4 linked regions of the Drosophila melanogaster genome follow. The protein of the gene in region 1 purifies or fractionates together with the protein of each later gene. This does not show direct contact. Each region holds a gene or a part of one and is shown on either strand. Other genes may lie near its edges. The genes, in order: Syx5, Ykt6, Syx8 and Vti1a.

Region 1 (6,225 bases):
CAGCGATTTTACAAGATGGCCTTCAACTTCACCGCCTTCACGTACATAGTGGCCCTGATCGGGGATGCATTCTTGATATTTTTCGCCATATTTCATGTCATTGCATTCGACGAACTTAAAACGGATTATAAGAACCCAATTGATCAGTGCAATAGCCTCAATCCGGTCAGTAAACTTACTGCTTACACCCGCAGTGCGCCCTGTAATGTATGTGTTTGCATTTCAGCTGGTTTTGCCCGAATACCTTCTGCACATCTTTCTGAACTTGCTCTTCTTGTTCTGCGGCGAATGGTTTTCGCTATGCATCAACATACCCCTCATAGCCTATCATATTTGGCGGTAAGTGACTCATTTGACCGTGTGATATAATGTGATTTGAGATCCGAGGAGATCAAGATTCACCCAAGCCCAACATAAGCACCCTTAAGCACTCATGCTTTGTAATACCCCTATCGCTTTCAGTTACAAAAACCGCCCTGTGATGTCGGGACCCGGACTTTATGATCCCACCACGGTCCTGAAAACCGATACTTTGTACCGGAACATGCGTGAGGGTTGGATTAAACTGGCCGTCTATCTGATTAGCTTCTTCTACTACATATACGGGTAAGTCTAATTGAGATTCATTGTGGCCAGGGTCCTCATTTGTCTAACGTTTCTAATTGCTAATTTTAGCATGGTTTATTCGCTCATCTCGACATAGGCAAGCTCTTGCCTGGGGATCTCAGTGTTGGCGCCAACGCATCAGCGTCGTGTATTAGTTGTCTAAACTCGGGTAGAGGACTTCCTTTTTTGGGGAAGAGTCCCCATCAACCGCGAACAATACTTCACTTGTAAATTCTAGTGTAAATCCATAAAGACATCTTGAAGCTTTGTTTTTTTCATACAATTTGTAATACTTTTCTGCAGTAAGAGATTGTAACATGTTTTTATTTTGATTATTTTTTGCATATCGCATCTTTGGTGTAGTTGGATTTTAAGCATTAAATAAAAGTCAAATCAATGTAACCAATTTTCATTTTTCTGTTTAGCATGAGGGACAGCGGAATTTTTGGCTAAACACGACGAACATGGAGCAACGAGCACTTAAGATAATAAAGATTATGAAAGGGCACTTAAACCTTATCAGCAGGGCAAACATAGATATAGTCTCTCTCCAATTTGATACTTGCATTACACGTTTTCTAAGGTAATATACAAGTTTCTTACATCAGCAAACATATTTATCATTCGGCTTTATATTTTGGAAATTATATTTAATTTTAGAGCTTCCATTAGAATGGAAAAATTCACCAAAGAACCACATGCTAAAATAAATGTATTTTGCTTTAGAACGTATTTATAACTTTATTTTACAATCGTTTCGGGAGGCCACAGCTTGGAATAAACAATATTGTGATTGAATCTTGATTAAAATAAAAAGCTGTATACATGGATAGGTACATGGGGCTTTTAATGGGCAACTGGCGTTTGATTACGACATAAAAACAACGAAGAACAAGAAGAAGAATATGAGAACGCCGAAGATTTTGATCATCAGCCAGCGATTTTTGGAGACGGATTGAAAGTATTTCAAGATCTCCCCATGGGCAGCCTCAATATTCAATTCCGCATCCGCCACATTCGTGTCAATACGCTCCACGATCTCTTCCTGCTCCTTAACCATATGTGCCAGCTGCTGGAATATTCCGCCGAGCTCAACGATGGTAGATTCTATATTTTGCATGGTCTCCGCCCGCTGCTGGACGTAATTATCGGAATCATCGTAGATGGCCATCTGTGTCTGGGTTGATAGGAGTGGTGTGGTATCGCTGCTCCCCATATCTATGCTGACCGCTTGGTTTTCCTCGCTGAGAAGCAAAGATCCCTGCTTGGCTGTCGAGGGGGAGACGGTGTGCGCGGCCAACGGACCTGGTCCCTGGCTAAACTGATCACGTCGCGTCTTCTGCTGCTTGAGGTTCTCCGTGCGCACCTCCAGGATTTGCTTGAAGTCCGTGCTCATGCTGGCCAGTTTCGATTGCAGGGCCAGTACCATGTTAGAGGAATGTGACACCAAATGCTTGCCGTTTGTGTGACGCCGCTGATCCTTGGAGATGTCCTGCAGTCGGGCAATTTGTTGATTTAAGGCATTTAGGTCGCCTTTGATGATATAGGTCAGCTCCTGAATCTCCTGCGGTCTGTCATCAAATAAGCTCTTCTTTTTGGCCACTAAAACGAAGATGGGAATTTTAAAGTTTTGAATATGACTTTAAGGGGTTACTAAAACATGTACTTACACATTGTGAGCTTCTCCAGTTTTGCGTAGGTGCTGGCTATGTTCTTGCCAATAAACCTGGCGACCATCATGAACTCCGAGTAGCTCTGAACCTGCTTAGCTTTGCGGGGATCGCGTATATTCACTGCCCGGGTGATATTTCGAGCCTGCAGGGAACGAATCGCATTGGCGAACTCGCCCGTTCGATCGCGTGCGGCCATGACGAATATTTCTGGTTCGGGTTCCGTTTCCTGCGGCTCCTCCTTCGATTGGTAAAACTGTGAACTAGTCGGAATGGAAGCGGGGTAGCTATAGTTGCTTTGGCTATCGTTATTGATGCCCGGTTGATTGCCGGTGACCACGGCGGCAGCGGCACTTAAAGTGCGCAGTGCGTGGCCCGAGAAGGCGCGTAGGTTCCACTGGCGGGCCGCCTTGCCGTACTTGTCGTCGGAGTAATCGGGAGTGGAAATGGAATCGCCCGACTGGTAGTTGTCTCCAATGTGGATGGCCGCCTCGTGACCAGTTGGTGGTGGAACCAGGGACTGTGCTAATAGTCCTACCGATCCGCCAGCTGTTCCCGTGCCCACAGATCCTGCGCCTGCTCCTCCCTGTTGATCCTCTTGAATGGTATAGGTACTGCTACTGCTGTAATCCTGCTGGTCTGTTTGATGAAGGCGTCTTCGGGTTTGCATCTCATTTCAGATTGCAGCTTTTACCAGGGAGTTGACGTTGCTGTTTTTCATATGCACACGAACGAAATGATCTGTTGGACTTTTCTTTGCGAAAATTTCCCCTTTGTTTTTCTCCTTTAATGCACTGGTTTACCGTTTGATGTTTGGCTCGTCACTTAGCTGGCAGGTTTGTGTGTCCTAAACAAAGTAAAATTTGGTCTCCGTTCAAGTATTTCCCAATGGTTTTGTCAAAAAATTCATAATAATTGCTAAAGGTTGCAGAAAACTCACTCAAACGCACACACACACACTCTTCTCACACACACGAACACACCTCCAGATGATAGATTACGATGACGTGTTGATATTTAAGCAACTATCGATAGGCACGAAACAGATTAAAACAGTTGCTACTTCTTTTCGTTCGGAAAGACACACGTTTTCCAATATTTCAAAATATTTATTTATAATAGTTATTATTAAAATATTTATTGTAAAATATTGTCTGCAAAACTAGCTTGTTTTTTATAGTCTGCCTGACATGCCGTCAGCCCTGTTAAGCACATATCGATAACCCACGGCAAGCAACGCTAGTTTTTTTCTTTTCAACTTTTAATTCTTCTCTTAATTAAGCCAAAATAAAATAGCCATAATTTATCAAAGAAAATGACACTGTATCACTTTGGAAATTGTGTGGCCCTGCTGACGCCGTACTACTTCACCTATAAATACTCCGGCCTGTGAGTTTACTTCTGGTTACTGGTGATTTGCCGACTGCCAAGTCCGCAGCTCTACCAGGTCAATAAAAAACTATTTGTGAACTTTCCCGGCTTATTATTTAATCACAGATCAGAATATGGAGCCTTCTGGAAGTGCGTGCAGGCGGGAGGCATTTATATATTCACACAGCTCGTCAAGATGCTGGTGCTGGCCACATTCTTCTACTCGGACGCTCCATCCTCCAGCGGCGAGTTCAACTTCTTTGCGGTACGTGTGCTTATCTTTGTTTACCTTCACCCAATTATTGAGGTCATGTTGTGGTTTCTTTGGTCTGCAGGAGATTCTTCGCTGCAGCATGGACATCGCCGATCTGCTTGGATTCGCCCTAATCTTGAGTCGCATACCCGGCAAGGGCCACTCAAAGCTCATAACGGCTGGACTTGGATGTAGGTTGAACGAACCAACTTATTTAAACTTAATTAATGATGAGGGTGGCTTTTAAAGATTGAAAAGTACTCTGTTCAGATATATTAATGTTACAAGAGCCAATGCCTACTCAACCTTTAATACCCCAACCCATATATGTATGACAACTTCCAAAAATTTAGTAAAAACTAAATATTTTCGTATACTTCCGCAGGGGCCACCGCCGAAGTGATTCTTTCCCGAGGTATCATGCTGTGGGTGGGTGCCCGAGGCACCGAGTTCAGTTGGATCTACATCCTCAAGTGTCTGGAATCGAACGTGCTTCTGGTGCAGCACATCACTACGGCCACCCTGATCTGGCTCTTCACCCGTCACGATTTGAACAAGGCATTAAAGCCGCTGGTTAGTCTACTTCTGGCGGTGACTGTCTTCAAAGGCGTCTGGCTGGAGGGCATGCTCCACATTCTGACCATTGGACCTTGGCTAACGGTGGCTGTTAAAGCGCTGGTGGCGGCCGTCATTGGATTCTGCACGCTGCACATCTATTCGGGTCTGGCCCAGCAGATCGGAATTTAAGCAATTGTGCCAAACACTCTGTATTCCTTTGTTTTTGTAACTTGTTTATTTTTTGGTGTTGTCAGAGAAATTGAGATTTTGTAACAAAGACAACAATTACGGTTTAGAGAATTACTCCAAATGTTAATGAATTATAGCTACGATAACGTAATAGTAACAAAGATAACAAACAACTTTTAATGGGTACACGAAACTAATATGATAATGAAAAAAAAACTATTTTTATAGACAGCAACAAGTAACATCTATAGAATTTTTCAATTCTTGAAATGAAACGAATTATCCAGGACATCGTTGCTCAATTGTACCATAAGATTGTATGGAAAAAGAGTAGATTAAAGCCATCTAGGTTAGAGATTGGCTCAACTTATATGTTATAACACAATAGCAATAACAGAAAACAAAACAACAACAAAAATGTGGAAGATTGTCAACTACAAAGTTGTTTGGTAATCTTGAAAAAAATTATCTAAAAATATTCACAGAGTCTCACTCAGCATAAGATTGTCTATTAGCTTAGCGGACTCTTTGCCAAGAGTAATTTGGTACATTTCCAGCGAATTAGCTCGCTTTGATATCTCTATAAAATGGTCTCGAACAAGATCTGAAATTTAAGCTATACGTTATTTCCAACACACATTTTGTTCTTTTTCGAACTCACACAACAAATGGAGAAAGGCTAACGAAGCCTTGATGCGACTATCAAACGTTTTTATAAAATCAATGGCATCGATTCCCGTGATTTTCGGATTATTACGCCAAATGCTTAAGAGACTCATCATTACGCTGTAGGTATCTGCAATGAGATTATATTTTATTTACGATAGCATGTTGTAAACATTGGCTGAACTCACCATCATGATTATCCTCACGGTATATGCCGTGCTCATTCATTTCATTATGATAATTCTGATTTACATCATCACGTGGCTGAAGTTGAGGTTGCACACAGTCTTCCACTTCAAGCGGTTCGGGCTGATAGATATGTGCCGCTTTATCCCTACATTTTGTAGCCTGCGATGGTCGCACAAATATCTCTTTAGAAAGATTCTCGGTAAACTCGCAGCCAAATATGGTTCTCAATGTGTTTTCTGCCTCGAATTCCTTTTCTTCATTACTGAGCTTAGGTCCGGAGTGGTTATGAAGAGCTAAAAAACTTACACTACATCAAAAAATTAAAAAGTTTTAAATAGCAAAATGTATAAGGCTCCTACTTATTATACAGTTTACAGAGAAGTTCCTTAGGGGGTTTCCGTAAATCCGAGGATTTTGGCACTATCACATTCCTTGAAAGGTATTCTTCCATATATTTCTGTCTATGCTTCACCAGCTGCTCCCGGGTGTATTCAATTCGTTTGTCTACTATTAGCTTTCTTTTCCGATTTTTCGGGTGGCTAAATGTTATTTCTCCAAAAGAATTTAAAACGGATGGCAACGACGGTTCACAAACTATCTGAGTTACTTCAGCTGGTTCAATGTTATGCGGAAAGATTTGGGTCATGATAGCATTGTCAGCTTGGAAAACATCGCAATCATCCAATCTGGGCATTTTATCCGGTAAGATGTCAGTTGGATCCT
Region 2 (5,731 bases), on another chromosome or scaffold:
TAGTTTACGTTTTTGCGTTTGTTTTACTTTGTAATTTGTTTTGTCTTAAGCTTTATCATTGGTTAACCAAAATATGTATGTATATACATGTATCAATGTCGATAAAGTCGATAAAGTGAATGCATTTACCGTTACAGTGCGATACGCACAAGTGCCAAAAATGCAGCAAAAACACCCGCACACACCCACGCACTCGGACACACACAAACAAACACACACACTCACACGACAAACAATTAAACAAAGACACATCTGTACACGCCAACACCCACCCACACAGACACACAAGTTTCTTATAGATGATACAAACACAAGCGAACACATTACATGTACATGTGTACATGCACGCAAGACCTGCAAAACAAGCATACTTTTAAGCGCCAAAGTTAGGAGCGGCTTTTGAGGGTTCTGAAAACAAAATATGGAAACCATTAAACACTAGAATCGTGGGGCAAATAACATTTAGCTGCTGCATGTAAGCTAAAGTTGCCACCGGCAAACGGAACTAACTTTAAAATAATAAAAATAATGCAAGTTGAAACCAAAACCCATTGTGATAACAGCTGCGTAAACGAAACACGTTAGAACCTTACTTGTACGTATTTCGATTGGAATTCGATGAAACGGGGATCCCCCACTAAGTCCTAAATAATATAAATTCAATCAAAAGCAAGCAAGCCAACAATTTATCCAAACTAGTTTTTAAATGAATACAAAACTCATCCAGCCGCACATACACACGTATTTTTTACTGATTTGAAAAGAAGGGAGAACTTTTCTTGATTTTCATTTGTTGTGTTGACCAATGCTAATTTTTAGCGAAAAAATTGAGAAGAAAAAATACACATACCAGGAAACACAAATGCAAATTCTTAGCCATTTCGAAGGAGCGTGCATTTAGAACATTGCATCGACTAATATTTACACTTGCATATATTGAAAGCATTTGAATAAATTCTAAATATTACTATAGATCACTAACACAAAAAAAAAATGCATACAATGTTGATGCAAATCAATAAAAAACGAGAAGCCAAGCAAACGCGTTTGAATCAATGTTTGCAGCTTAAGCTAAGTTAGCACACACAATATTATATTAATTATAACGAAACGATATAGGTATGCAGTATAATGCATATATTTATAATGCACCGCCTCCCCTTTCTCCCCGCGCAAACACACAAGAAAATTGCGATGGAGAGGGGGCGAAAACTAAATTGTAATCGATTTACCTATCTTATACTAGGCTATACAAACCGAACCCATTAAACATAACCAAAATCCAAAAGGTTAAACACGAAAACGTAAGGAAAACGCATAAATATGAAAAATGTAACGGAAATCTTTACAAGAAGCGAAATAGGTGTCTTCTATATAATAAATAAACGCCAACAGAAAATCACTTTTAAATTGATTTTGCTTTTTTGGGAGGAATGGAATTTGCACTTAAGATAAAGTGGTACGTATTACATAAATAAAAATAAGTTCATGTGCTATGTACAGAGCTCGTACAAATAGTTTGTACATTTTGCCAAAATTGACAAAGATAAGGTTTGTATATGTGAGCAATGAAAACGAGCTTGGTTCACATTTCCCATAATACTTCTTTATTGAAACGCCCACACATTCCGACCGCCAGTTGCCCGGATCGGAAGTGCGACTGCATGTGTATACATAGGTGCAGCCTTCCGATCCGATTGGTATACATAGATCCGCCGTGGAGGCGATAAGAAGGCCCACAACATCAATAGCTAGCAAAGGGCCAATTTTGGACCGCCGTGCCAACACATAAGTGAAGAGAAGATTATGTTAAGCACATGGGTTTAGATCGTAATCTGTATTGGTAGTAATTAACATTTAGATATCCAAAGCGTAGACATATACAGACAGGTAGACATTGGGTTAGCGGACTATCGTAACTGGCAACTGGCCATCCTATTCATACAGTATATAATATAATATATATATATAGTATATAAAATTAACTAATTCATTTATAAAAAGCAATCATCAAAGCCCAAGTCGCACCGCTCCCTTGGAGTTTGTTTGGTTGTAGTTTGTTGGTGTTATCGTGTTATCCATTATCCTTTGTGTTGTCTTTGATTTGCATTTTCTGGTGTTTCCTGTTGTGGTTGTTGCTTGAGAGGATTAGCGTGTGGTGGGGGGTGATGAGAGGTGCAGCTGTCGTCTAGGTGAAGCTGCAGCAGGAGTTAGTCTTTTTCGCCGTCTTGTAGAACGCCTTGCTCTGCAGCGACAATTTCTCCGACTTGCTGACCATGTCGTCCAGCTTCTCGCCCCGCTCCAGCACCGCCTCGATGGTATTCTTCAGTATGATCTTCGTTTCGTCCAGGTCGTTTTGCATTTTCGTCAGCGGATCTGCTTCGACGGGATTTTGATAGCGTGCTAGAAACGCTGGCAGCAAGTCAAATGAGATAGTGGCCTCCGTGCCATTGGGCCACTGATCGGCCGACACCTTGGCCGTAAAGTCATCCAGAATCTTTGTGATAAGCGTGTGCGCCACGCGATGCGGATACTCATGATCGGCGATCAGTACACCGGCCAGATTGTCCGCCCGCACATAGACATGACACATGTAGGCATCCTGTTTCACCGATTGCCGCAGGGCCGGCTGTGTGCGCTCCACAATCGTCTTCGAAGCGAAACTGCAAGAGGAGGAGTTGTTTAGGGGGGTGTTCGTCATTGATGACTCTTTGAGCCTGCGCCGTTCTTTGGCATCCACATGCATACTCACGTCATGAACTCGTTGACGGTGCCACGTTGGAAAAAGGAGAAGGACTGCAGGTCCGAGGCGGTCTTCAGGAGACGCGCCTCGCTGGCGCCCTTGTGAAAGATGCTCAACGCGAATAGTTTGACCATTTTGAGTGGCTGTGGGCTGCCAAGACTGGGTCTGCGGGTCGCGGGTTGCTCGACTGTTGCTCCTCCAATTAAATGCTTCTGGGGCACTGAGCTGAACGGTTGTCCTGGCTAATCCTACTATGCTCCGGCGGATGGGTTTCACTTTCAGCGCACTGGCATTCGTGGAAAAGTGCGACAAGTGAGTTTGTTTAACGCAGTAAATCTGTGCCGTTCCCCTCTGTGTGTGCGTGTGTGTGTGCGCGGGTGCACATATGCGTAGTGTGTGTCAGCTTATTAGGGATGGTACGTCTGGTATTCGGATGCCATCCGATTATTATCGATTCCAATGGTTACAATTAATAAGCGCAACTTTCTGTAAATGTTTTAATTGTGGTTTTTATCAAACTAAGTTGTTAGCAATACTTTCTGTTACTAACTGAATCTACGGCCATTTGTGGTGTACCATCACTACAAACATCGATAACTACTAATCGGCGGTAACGGCAATGTAACGGTTTTCTTAAGCACTGCAATCTGACTGGTCGCGATTTCTTAAATAATTTCAATGGCAAGGCGTATTAAGTTCCAGCGGTTGGCAGAGATGCGTCCCACAATGACCCGTTTCTCCACCGTTGCCCTGATTGTCTCCAAATCCTCGCCGAACATCTTCTATGACAAGATGAGTGGCACCGAACGAGGGGTTCTCAGCTTGACCATCCGAGATTCCCCCAATCACCTGACCAATTGCAAGTGCTGGGGCCAGCGGGACTGTGTGGATGAGTACGCGGCCATGCTGCAGATCGGCCATGTGGTAGACATTGTGGGCGCTAAAGTGATGTCCATACCGTTTGCTGCTCCGGGAGAACAGCGTTATCAGCCCCAAGCGACGGTCTCCTGCGCCCTGGTGGTCAACGAGGGATCCGGCTATGTGGTGCGCCACGACAATGACGACTTTGGCCAAATAACAATTCTCCAGCAGTTACTCCATCAGCCCATAAGGCCACTTGGTGCGGTCCTTAAGCTGGCGGATGTGCGTTCCGGCTTGGGATTTCCCGATAAGATAATCACCACCAATGTGAATCTACTGGTAGTAGTGGCTGCAGTGCGTCCAGTGCGTCAGATAAAGCGAAAGCTGCAGGGGCCACTAAGTGAGGTCCAGGAGCTGCTACAGTGCTTGGAAGTAATCGTGATCGATGCCAGCTATCCGGAAGGTATGCTGCTCTCCGTTTGGCAACCCGACTGGATACAACGTGCCCAGCAATGGCAGCCACGTCGCACTGTCCTTCATTTGATCGACGTGCGTGTTTCCTACTCGAACTTTCATCGTTCTCTCGTCCTCTCCCATTCCAATTGCACACTTATTTGCGAAAATCCTCAGGCGGCTGGAGATGATTGCCGTCTCTTGCTAGCTTTCGCCGCCACTGTGCCTCTAACAACTTTTAGTGGCTGTGACCAGGCAGAGCTGGACAACATGCCTGCAGGTGAGTAAAGGATAATTAATGCAGTATTATTATTTACTATAACTCTTTCAGTTGCCAGCATTCAGGCGCAGATGACGGTAAGACAGATATATTCACGCGCCGAGGGCGAACTGCAGGATCCGTCCATACATCAGTTTACTGCAGTGCTGTATGGGATGGTCACCAAGTTCGACTTGGATGGATTGACCTCCCACGTCAACAGGAAGTGGTGGGTGTTGTACATCCCCATCCCTTCCTAACCGCCGAAACGCTTCCCACTATCCGTTACATAGTTTACAAGACATATTCTTAAAAGCCCTTTTATTTTACAGCATTGCCTGTCAACAACATATACCACGGAACCTGCAAGATTGCGCCTCGGACGCCTGCCAGCAGTATTTTTCATTGGACAATGATGAACCACGATCCATTAGCTACTTCAATATCAACATTCATTTGTCCGACCAGACCGGCACTCTCGTCGAAGCCCGGTTAGCTGGACATCCGGCAGAACGTATCCTGGGACTTCGGGCTGAAGACTTCGAGCGACTGGCGGAGCGCGAGAAAAGCGAGCTAAAGTGGCGCTTTCTGCTGAAATACTTCGAGGTAAGATTGATGATCAAAAAGCCGGTGGGAGTGCGCAATCATCTCGTCATTGTGGTCGTCGACATGCAAGCCATTCCCCTGGAAAAGCTTGTCGCAAATATGGTCGTTTTCTAAGTGTATGTGGGGTGGTCCCATCAAAATACTGGTGAACCATCTACATAAATAGCGATCTTTATTTCGCATTTTCACATAAAAGTGTACAACTGCAATACATAAATAGATTGAAAGCGCCTCGAAACTCTTAATGTGGGTCCTAAGTGGGATACGTTTGGCTCATTGGGGATGAATCATCTAAGTGTCATTTTGCCTAGTGTTACAGAAGGTGCCGGTGTCTTTGGGTCGTGGTGGTGGTGGGTGGGTGTCTACGGGGCGTTTCAGGTCCACAAAACTGATTTTGGGTCAATTCTAAATGTTGTAATTTCGAGTTGTGTGTTTTAACATGGTATCAAAATGCATTTGGATAACCACAAATGCTTAAGGATTAATGCTTCTTTAAAGTCCTGACTTGCGACTGTTTTATTGTGTTATCAAACGTTCTGTTTTTTAAGACAGCCTCAATCAACGCTTAGTCTTTAAGATTATTTGATACCATTACCAATTTTGGTCAATTAGGAAATTTCAAATACAATTTTTAATTGATGGTTATCGATGTGCAACAATTGAATCATTTTAATACAAATTCGAAAAAGAATACAATGTGTGTCAATACGGAAGTTGCTTTATGGCCATGGAACGCACTGTTCTGGACGCCCATTAGCTTGCCTCAAACTAATCTCACCTGTTGTGTTTCTATAATATTTTTGGGGGGA
Region 3 (3,177 bases), on another chromosome or scaffold:
AACTGCGCCGGCGGCGTCGGAGCCTCTGTCAAGGCTGTGAATGCCAGCTACTCGGACGCTGGTCTGTTCGGTTTTGTGGTCTCCGCCGACTCCAAGGACATTGGCAAGACCGTGGAGTTCCTGGTGCGCGGCCTGAAGTCGGCTTCGGTGTCTGATAAGGATGTGGCCAGAGGCAAGGCTCTTCTGAAGGCGCGCATCATCTCGCGCTACTCGTCGGACGGTGGTCTAATTAAGGAGATCGGTCGCCAGGCGGCGCTCACCCGGAACGTGCTGGAGGCGGACGCCCTGCTTGGCGCAATCGATGGCATCTCGCAGTCGCAGGTCCAGGAGGCGGCCAAGAAGGTGGGCAGCTCCAAGCTGGCCGTCGGCGCCATCGGGCACCTGGCGAACGTGCCCTACGCCTCCGATTTGGCTTAAGTATATAAACACCTGTACATCTGTTAACCGTAATGTAACGACTAAATAAACCTGATCAAGGGGATCGATCCGCGAACGTAAATACTTATAAATCCTACTTTAATTGGTGTATACATAAATAATCAAACTTTGGGTTAACAGATAGACATTCCACGCAGGTCATAGTATAAAGTAGTATAACAACTGGAATGGATCGTGGGAGCTAGACGAAGACCACGACAATGATGGCGACGAACAAGGCTATGATGACGAGCCAGTAGCCCCAGGTACTGTCCCGCCGGTTAACCTGTCCAATGCTCTGTGTTTCCCGCTGCACACCCGTTTCCACACGGTCCATGGCATTGGCCAAGTTGTCAAGGATATCTACAAGGAGGTAGGGATTAGCATTGGTAGTGCAGGGACTGGGGAATACCCACTGTTCTGGTCCTCCACCTCGTTGCCCAGCTGTGTGGCCAGTTGGCGCTGTCTGGACAATGTGGCTGATAGAACCTCGAGTCCTTCGTTCTGCTGCGCCAGCATCTCGGTCTTTTTCTGCTTCAGAGCCTCCACATCCAAGGCGGTATTCCGCGAGGAATTGCTGTGACCTGGGCCGAGATCCTGATCCTGCCAAGCAGAACCGGATGCGGCCGGGACATTGGAGCGGCTACTGTTTGCGAACTTCTCGCGGATCTCGCGCAGCTGCGAAGTAAGTCTATCCCAGTCGATGCGCCGCTGTTGCAGCTCCTCCTCCGGGCTCGTCTCCCAGGTGATGGCGTTGTCCAGCACCACCTTGAGGTGCTTCATGTCCTTGGCCAGCTGCTCTATTCCCGTCTGAATGCTGCTTGTCAGTTGGACGAACTGGCTCGTCCTCGGATTGAGCTGCTGCCGCTGGTTGAGGTATACCAGCAGCTGATGCCGCAGTCGCTCGCAGCCCTCGTACTCGATGTCCCAGGAATCGTGATCCACCAGCGCCATTTCTCTGCTTTTGCTATGAGTAATTATCAAAAGCAGAAAACTACGCCTCCAGCAATCCAAGTAACAAAAACAAAAACAATAGCCGAGCAACAGCTGATGGCTGGTAGCAAAATAAGTAAGCGCGAGTACGGTCACATTGCCAGTAAGAAGGGATTCGGAAATAATCTTCAATGTTTGAACTGATTTAGATATTATACTTATGTAGCTGTAGATAAGCTGGAAAAATGCACCGCGATTAATCCCCAATCCTTTATCAATTCACCTCGCAGGTGCGTTGCTAGTGTGAACTATTTACTAAATAATTTAAGCTGGTCACTCGAAAATCGTCACTATGATGTGAAGTATGATTATTCGGCCCGAATTCCTGAAACTACTCACAAAAATTAAGAAATGCTTTCCAAATTGCTTCCAATTCTGATTCTGCAAGGTGGCCGAAGAACGTATTCCTTGTGCTCGAGAGATTACACCATCCCCACAAGTAACCACACCCTAACTGGTCAAATTTTAAAGGTTCCAAACCTAAATTCGCAGGAAAGATGTTTTGGTACGCACATTGTTGTCCGGCATAAGAGAGGTCGGTTCTACACCGACATTGGCGAGCTCCGGGCTGTATTGGTATACTCCATCAGGGACGGTGTGATGACCATCAACAGCACCAACGTCCCGGAGGAACTGGGCGGACATGGCATTGGGAAGCTACTGGCCAAGTCGGCACTGGACTACGCACTGTTGAATGGGCACTTCATTATTATAAGGTGTCGGTTTGTCCAGCACTACATCGACAAGTATGAGCCGCAATACGCCAAGTACATATTAAATTAGGGAACCGAAAACAAAACTTCAAAATTGTCGACACAATCAAACTGAACACAAATAAATCCCCCCACTATGCACATAGACACCATACATATAAACGTATATTTGCGTTCAGATTTGTTGAATTCCTTCGGTTTTTGAAAAATTACATGAAAATAATTTGAATTGGCTTATTTTTAAATTATTTCAAAATTTCTAAACCGAAAGGTAACAGATTATATTTAATGACGAAATTACGGTTTCTTATATAAGCTATTTTGTTATGCTTCTAAAAACAAATGTTTTATTACCTCTTTAAAATATGTAAACTAGTTTTCACAATATATTTTAAAAAATTGTTAATTTCCATATATACCACCTTGCATTGTGTGACCACCCTGAAATTAGCAAAGGGCGTTGCCAGACTCCGGCCACCCACGCACATACGATAGTTGGGACCGGCCCGGCGCGGTGGACAAAGTCACGGTATCGATATGGTGACACGATTCACCCACACATGCATGCATTGGGCTACGATGGCTGTGACACAAGGTGTGAAGAAATCACTGGGTTACAATGAGCGCTATTTATAAATATTTTGGAAGTATGCTGCAGGATTTCATAAAAGTAGTATGCAATTGGTATGCTTGATTCATATTGTTTAAAATTTGCTGTGCTACGTCAATTTTGTACTTGAAAAATATGGAGTCGTGACATGCCGCCAAAGCGGTGACTTGTCACGGTGAAATAATCGCGACTAGTAGCAGGTACGCAACTATCGCCCATCGCTAGCTCACACGTACACACAATTTATTTAGTCGTGATTTCTATTTTATTTGTTTCAAATTACAACCAAGAAGGAAACAAATCGCGACCAAAATCCGCTGGCCACAATGCCGAGTGCCTGTACAAGCGTGCGCGAGCATTCCCACTAATCGGAAGCGAGCGCATCCGCCGTTTTGAGCGTTTTCCGCGCGGGAGTGGGAAATCGAAAAGGCAAGGCAAGCCATC
Region 4 (5,548 bases), on another chromosome or scaffold:
TTCCGGGGGCTATATTGATTTCCGAAGGCGTACGCATGTATCTTTTGGTTTTGTCTCTGTATCTGTAAAATGGCTAGAGTGGTCGTGCTATTGGCATATGCTCTTTAGAGGTTTCGAGGTTGTTCCTATATACTGTGATATACTTTTATAAAAATATGTATTGGCTTGCCATTATTTCGATGACTCATGTCATCTGCTGTAAGTCCCAAGAGATAGACACTAGCTTGTTCGTCGAATTCATTTTTCATTTGTAAAGTTGTCCTTCTAGAGTTGCTAACTCATTGGTTTGTTGTAAATATCTGTGTTCTGGGAAAACACGATCTCAATCGGGTAATTTACTCGTTTTAATCATGGAGATCAGCACATTAATTTATTGTTATTTGCCAAACTCGTATACGTTTGAAACTGAAATATGTAAATATAAAACTCCGATTGCATTGCAATATGGAAATCGTGGGCTCAATTGCACTAAGATAGTTCAAATGCAGACACTTGTTGCAAAGTGCGCCAAGGAAAAGGGTTAAAGGATGCCAGACTCCATGTCCTAGCCCAGAACTTGCCAGACCTCCTGAACTTTGGCGGTAAATTGAGAACGCGACCATGAAGGAACACAGAACATCGCAGATACTTAAATTGAAGTTAAATAGCCAGCTTAATAATGTGTGCAAACACTCTCTTGCAGATTCCAGTGGATTTGTTTTAATTTCATTTACATTTCGTGACCTGGCGAAGCGTGAGCAACGCCAGCACTCCAGCATTTAAGATTCGGGGCCAACAGCAATTTCATCCTCATCCGCAGGTCGAGATGCCGACCATCCGGCGGTGCTGCATCATCGGATGCTTGTCCAATTCGCGTCAGCACCCGAGTATGCAGTTCTTTGCGTTTCCCCGGCCGGAGAACCCCTTCCACAAGCTGTGGAAGGAGGCGTGCCACGCCTCCCTAAGACGAATTGTGCCCTTCAAAAAGCCAGTGGTATGTGCCCTGCACTTTGACCCCAGTGTCTTGGGTGGCAGGCGACTGCAGTCGAATGCGCTGCCCACCCTGCGTCTGGAAGTTCCCTCCAACCTGGAGGCCGTTGAGCAGCAGGCCATGGTGGAGGAGATCGAGAGGAGCCGAAAGTGCGCCTACATCAATGCAGTGGTATACGAATGGCTAGTAAGGGCCAATATCAATCCCCAGCTGCGAGGTAGCATTACCCACGGAATGATCAAGGACAAGGCGGAGAATGCCAGACAAGTCATAGGGAGCACATCCTTTATAGCAGACAATCGCTGGTTAAACCGTTTCCGAGAGACTCATCTTCAAGGCTTTGCCCAAAAACTAGCCAGCAACCAGTTGAAGCCACTAGGATCCTCCCTGTGGATCCCGGACATCGTACAGGACCTAGCCCATCTCTTTCCGCCCGCGAGCGCTGAAAGAGTGGCCAAACTGGAGGAGATGCCCGAGCAGTACATGACCTACATGCAACAGTACGGAGAATACGAAGAAGATGATGACAGTATGGATGTAAAGGAGCAGAGCTATCAAGAGCAACAGCAGCAGCAACAGCAGCACTTTGCCCTCCAGCAGCAACATATGCAACAGCAGCAGCATCAAATGGGCCACCCATGGCCACCGTTTCCAGGACATCCCGGACATCCTACTCCACACCCCGGGTTCGCCAGCTTCAACGACTTTTATTTCGAGCGGCATCAACAGCAAATGCAACAGCAACTCCAGCAGCAGCAGCAGATGCAACAGTTTCCACCCACTATGCCACCTCAAAGGGAACCCTTTCAGCCCCAATTGCCGCCAAATGTTCCACCGCAGCGGGCCAGTCCCTTCCAGCCCGTTCAGTTGGCCAAGAGACCCAAAATGGAGTCACCCGATGATGACGAAGTGCAAGAGATTAACTCAGCGGTGAACTCACCACCATATCCGCTAGCAGAATCAACCTTAACCAGCAAGCACAGTCGAAGTTCCAGTCCCAACGAGCAGAACAACAATAATAGCGGGGGAAGAGACAGTGCCAGCAGCAAGGAGAACGCCCCCAAGGGAGGCGGAACAAGTGGCAAATCCACGCCTGCCCTTTCTTCCAAGGGAAAGGACTCACCTGCACCAGCTCGAGCTGCGTCCACCAAACCCGCCTCTGCTCCCGCCTCGCCAAAAAAGATCCCCAATGGATCCAGCTCCTCCGGCAGCCAAACCAATGGACACACATCCCCAGACCCCGAGGATAAGAAGGCTTTATGCATGCTGAAGGAGTTGGAAAGCTACCACCAGGCCTTGGAGTACCTAAAACCGCTGGAGGACTTCGTGCTCTTCAAGGAGAACTTTCGGGCTATTGGCTTGCTGTCCCAATTGGAACTGGTGCTCCGAAAAGGGGACAAGGCCACACTGGTCGAGGGTTAAGAGTTTTCTAATCGCGGACCAGGACAGCACAAAACATAAATGTGATGAACAGTGTACATATGTATCATGTAGTATTATTAAATCGTACTACCGCCAAAACAGTTGCTTAGGTTAACAAAGAATCTCCACTCGCATAAAGCTGAACCTAATTAATTAATTTATTAATTACTCTAAGTACAATAAAATGGAATTTATAAAATAATAGATATGTTTGTGTTTTATTTACGTATTTAAAACGGAAGTTGGTTTTATCTGAGTTCTTACGAGAATATTGTAGTCCTTGAAGTTGGCAGTGTTTTTTACATGAGTATGGCAACGCTGACTCGAAATCAGAGTGACCACGACTTAAAAGTATTTATAGATTGCTGTATTACTGTTCACCTCATGACTCGGCCACACTTGGACAATGTTTACTTCTTTTCTTCGATAAATCTGTAATTTTCGCGAACTAAAACAGAACAAATACCATAAACAACTGAATAAGGTAGAATAAAAACCGCACAAATGTCGCTTCTGGAGCAATACGAACAGCAATACGCCACGTTAATAGCAGAAATAACGGCCCATATTGGACGGCTGCAGCAGCAAAACAACAACAGTGAGTGGGATGATTGTCCATGGATTGTACATTATGGTGATTACCATTTGTCCATTTACTCCAGGCGAGCGCCATGATTTGTGCAGCAAGATCGACTCCAGTTTGCCCGAGGCTCAGGAATTGCTGGAGCAGATGGGTCTGGAGGTGAGGGAGCTAAATCCTGGACTGCGGAGCAGCTTCAACGGAAAGCTGCAGGTGGCCCAGGCAGAACTGAAACGGCTGCAGGCGGAGTACAGGTTGACCAAGGACAAACAGCGCTCCCAAGCCAACACATTCACCACTCTGGACTTGGGTGACAGCTATGAGGATGTGTCCATAAGTACAGATCAACGCCAACGCCTCTTGGACAACTCGGAAAGGATTGAACGGACGGGCAACAGGTTAACCGAAGGGTACAGAGTGGCCTTGGAGACGGAGCAACTGGGCGCCCAGGTCCTAAATGATCTGCACCACCAAAGGGAAACTCTACAGGGAGCCAGGGCTCGACTTCGAGAAACCAATGCCGAGCTGGGAAGAGCTTCTCGCACTCTGAATACCATGATGTTAAGAGCCCTGCGGGAGAAGGTGGTCTTGTATGGAGTGGGTGTCTGCTTTGTGGTGGCCGTGGGCGTCAGTCTCTATCTGACCTTCGCACCCAGTTCAAGCAGCACCGCCTCGTCGTAGTAATTTTAGCTAGCAAACCAATAGCCAATGATCTTAGCCCAAATTCAAATGTTATAGAAGCCTGTCCATTCCAATTTCGTGAGTTGATTATTTATTGTTTAGTATATTTTATTTTTACGAGATATTCTGTGGAAGAAAGCTGCAGATTACGCACTAATCTATATAAGATAGGATGGAGTATTACGTGCAATAAGAGTCGAAGCTTAGAGTAGTTATCTGCGGTCAATCGATGTCTATATATTTTGTTGTCCTTTTACCTTTAAGATTAAATTGACCTTCTTGTTAATCGATGGAATTCCTATTACTTTTTAATTCTTACCGCAGATTTCTAACCTATCACTCGCGTATCCGCCATCCTAGCTTACGTGTACAAAGTTTAAGTGGTTAATGTTTGGCGCCTGGTTAATAGAAACTAATCCTACTCTATGACTCGTGTTCGCGTTCGGGACGTATTTTTCGTAAAAATTCGAATTGAACATGTACGTATCTAAAAATCATAACATAGCCGAAAGCTATCAATAAATAAAGGAAACAGTAAAAATGCATCTCTGCGTGAGCATTGAGCCTGGCGGGAATAAGGGTTCCTAGCCGAACTCAATGTTCCCCAACTGCTAGCAGCCGCAGGAGGAGGCGTCCTCCTCGTTGGTCGCCGCGCCGCTGCTCGCAGTGTCCACCTGGAAGCTCTTGTGCTCCAGTGCCTGCAGTTCCATTTTGGAGCGATTGGCGTGGACCAGTTGCCTAGAGATGTCACGGAACATCTCCTCCACACCGGCGCCGCTGCGACAGGAGGTCTTGTACGTGGCACTGATCAGTGAGTGGCACTGCTCGCAGAAGGCCTCCACTTCCTCATCGCTGACCTCCGGCTCCCTGCCATCCAGATCGCTCTTATTGCCACAGATGAAGATCTTGGCATTCTCTGCATAGGTCACAATGTCCAGCAAGTGCTGCGACAGCGAGTGGAACGAAGCGGCGTTGTCCAAAGCAAAGACCAGGATGGCTCCCTCGGCGAACTTGTAGTACGAGGATGTGACCGAGGCCACACGCTCCATGCCACCGGTGTCCCAGAGTTGGAGCTGTCAAAGAAGACGGTATATACATAAGTGTCTCACAACGCAATAAGTTGTAAGTCTGAAGAACTGTGGCTTTCGTCTAGAAATCGAACTAAAGAGCTTAAGGATTCATATCTCAGCCATCACGCCCTTTTAGAGGTTCCCGAGCCCACCTTGATCTGCTTTTCATTCACACTGTATTCCCTATCGATGTGGTCCAGTCCCAACGTGGATTTCCTGTCCGTATCCGTGATGAAGGTGTTGGTGGCGAAGCGCCGGAACAGGGAGCTCTTGCCCACTCCGTAGTCGCCGCACAGGATCACCTTTTGTTTGGGTATGCGCATCGTGGCCATGGCTGTGATCGCTCGATTAATCCCAAGTTAATCCAATTAATATATTATTTTGCACCTGCAGACACAAAGGCGACAACAACAGTGCGACAACAGCTGTTTGTGCAAAAACAGCCAACATCGCAGAGTTGCCAGCCATTTGAACGCTATCGATAACCGATAATTCGAGTTATTCGAATTCAAATGGTCTTATCAGTTGAGATCTGCATTTGGTTTTAGTTTAGGCAAAACAATTCCACCCATTATAATAATAATATACAATATTGTAAAATTGTTTATGAAAAAGGGATTATTTATGGAGGAAGTTATCGTTTCAACATTAGTTGTACCTAAATATACGTACATAAACAGATATTCAACTTCTTTTTAAAAGGGAATATACAAATTCAAAAATGATTATCATCCCTCTTCTGAATGATTGAAAGAACCAGATCGATAGAAGTTATCATTTTTGAAAAACTATTATCTGATGTCAAGTTCTGCTGATAGTGCTGTA

What was found.
Region 2: the proteins of Syx5 (region 1) and Ykt6 purify together in Drosophila melanogaster (affinity purification with mass spectrometry, with the first as the bait; one large-scale study listed by BioGRID). This does not show direct contact.
Region 3: the proteins of Syx5 (region 1) and Syx8 purify together in Drosophila melanogaster (affinity purification with mass spectrometry, with the first as the bait; one large-scale study listed by BioGRID). This does not show direct contact.
Region 4: the proteins of Syx5 (region 1) and Vti1a purify together in Drosophila melanogaster (affinity purification with mass spectrometry, with the first as the bait; one large-scale study listed by BioGRID). This does not show direct contact.

The regions. Positions count from the first base shown.
Region 1 is NT_033779.5:16,304,381-16,310,605, reverse strand, and holds Syx5 (syntaxin 5), read right to left. Parts: upstream 3,261-6,225; 5' UTR 2,947-3,260; coding exon 2,277-2,946; intron 2,209-2,276; coding exon 1,475-2,208; 3' UTR 1,332-1,474; downstream 1-1,331. Other genes in the region: cni (cornichon), read left to right, coding at 16-165, 227-339, 463-606, 676-703; CG5861 (uncharacterized protein), read left to right, coding at 3,592-3,665, 3,774-3,912, 3,983-4,091, 4,286-4,647; c(2)M (crossover suppressor on 2 of manheim), read right to left, coding at 5,127-5,251, 5,309-5,443, 5,502-5,809, 5,862-6,225. UniProt on the Drosophila melanogaster protein: Mediates endoplasmic reticulum to Golgi transport.
Region 2 is NC_004354.4:7,917,822-7,923,552, reverse strand, and holds Ykt6 (YKT6 v-SNARE), read right to left. Parts: upstream 3,145-5,731; 5' UTR 2,878-3,144; coding exon 2,753-2,877; intron 2,664-2,752; coding exon 2,189-2,663; 3' UTR 1,587-2,188; downstream 1-1,586. Other genes in the region: hdm (hold'em), read left to right, coding at 3,422-4,337, 4,389-4,545, 4,649-5,036.
Region 3 is NT_037436.4:16,585,608-16,588,784, forward strand, and holds Syx8 (syntaxin 8), read right to left. Parts: upstream 1,451-3,177; 5' UTR 1,372-1,450; coding exon 834-1,371; intron 781-833; coding exon 620-780; 3' UTR 501-619; downstream 1-500. Other genes in the region: UQCR-C2 (Ubiquinol-cytochrome c reductase core protein 2), read left to right, coding at 1-417; CG32163 (uncharacterized protein), read left to right, coding at 1,762-2,193.
Region 4 is NT_037436.4:690,127-695,674, reverse strand, and holds Vti1a (vesicle transport through interaction with t-SNAREs 1a), read left to right. Parts: upstream 1-2,755; 5' UTR 2,756-2,896; coding exon 2,897-2,990; intron 2,991-3,054; coding exon 3,055-3,653; 3' UTR 3,654-4,189; downstream 4,190-5,548. Other genes in the region: CG13894 (uncharacterized protein), read left to right, coding at 806-2,392; RabX6, read right to left, coding at 4,265-4,726, 4,876-5,055.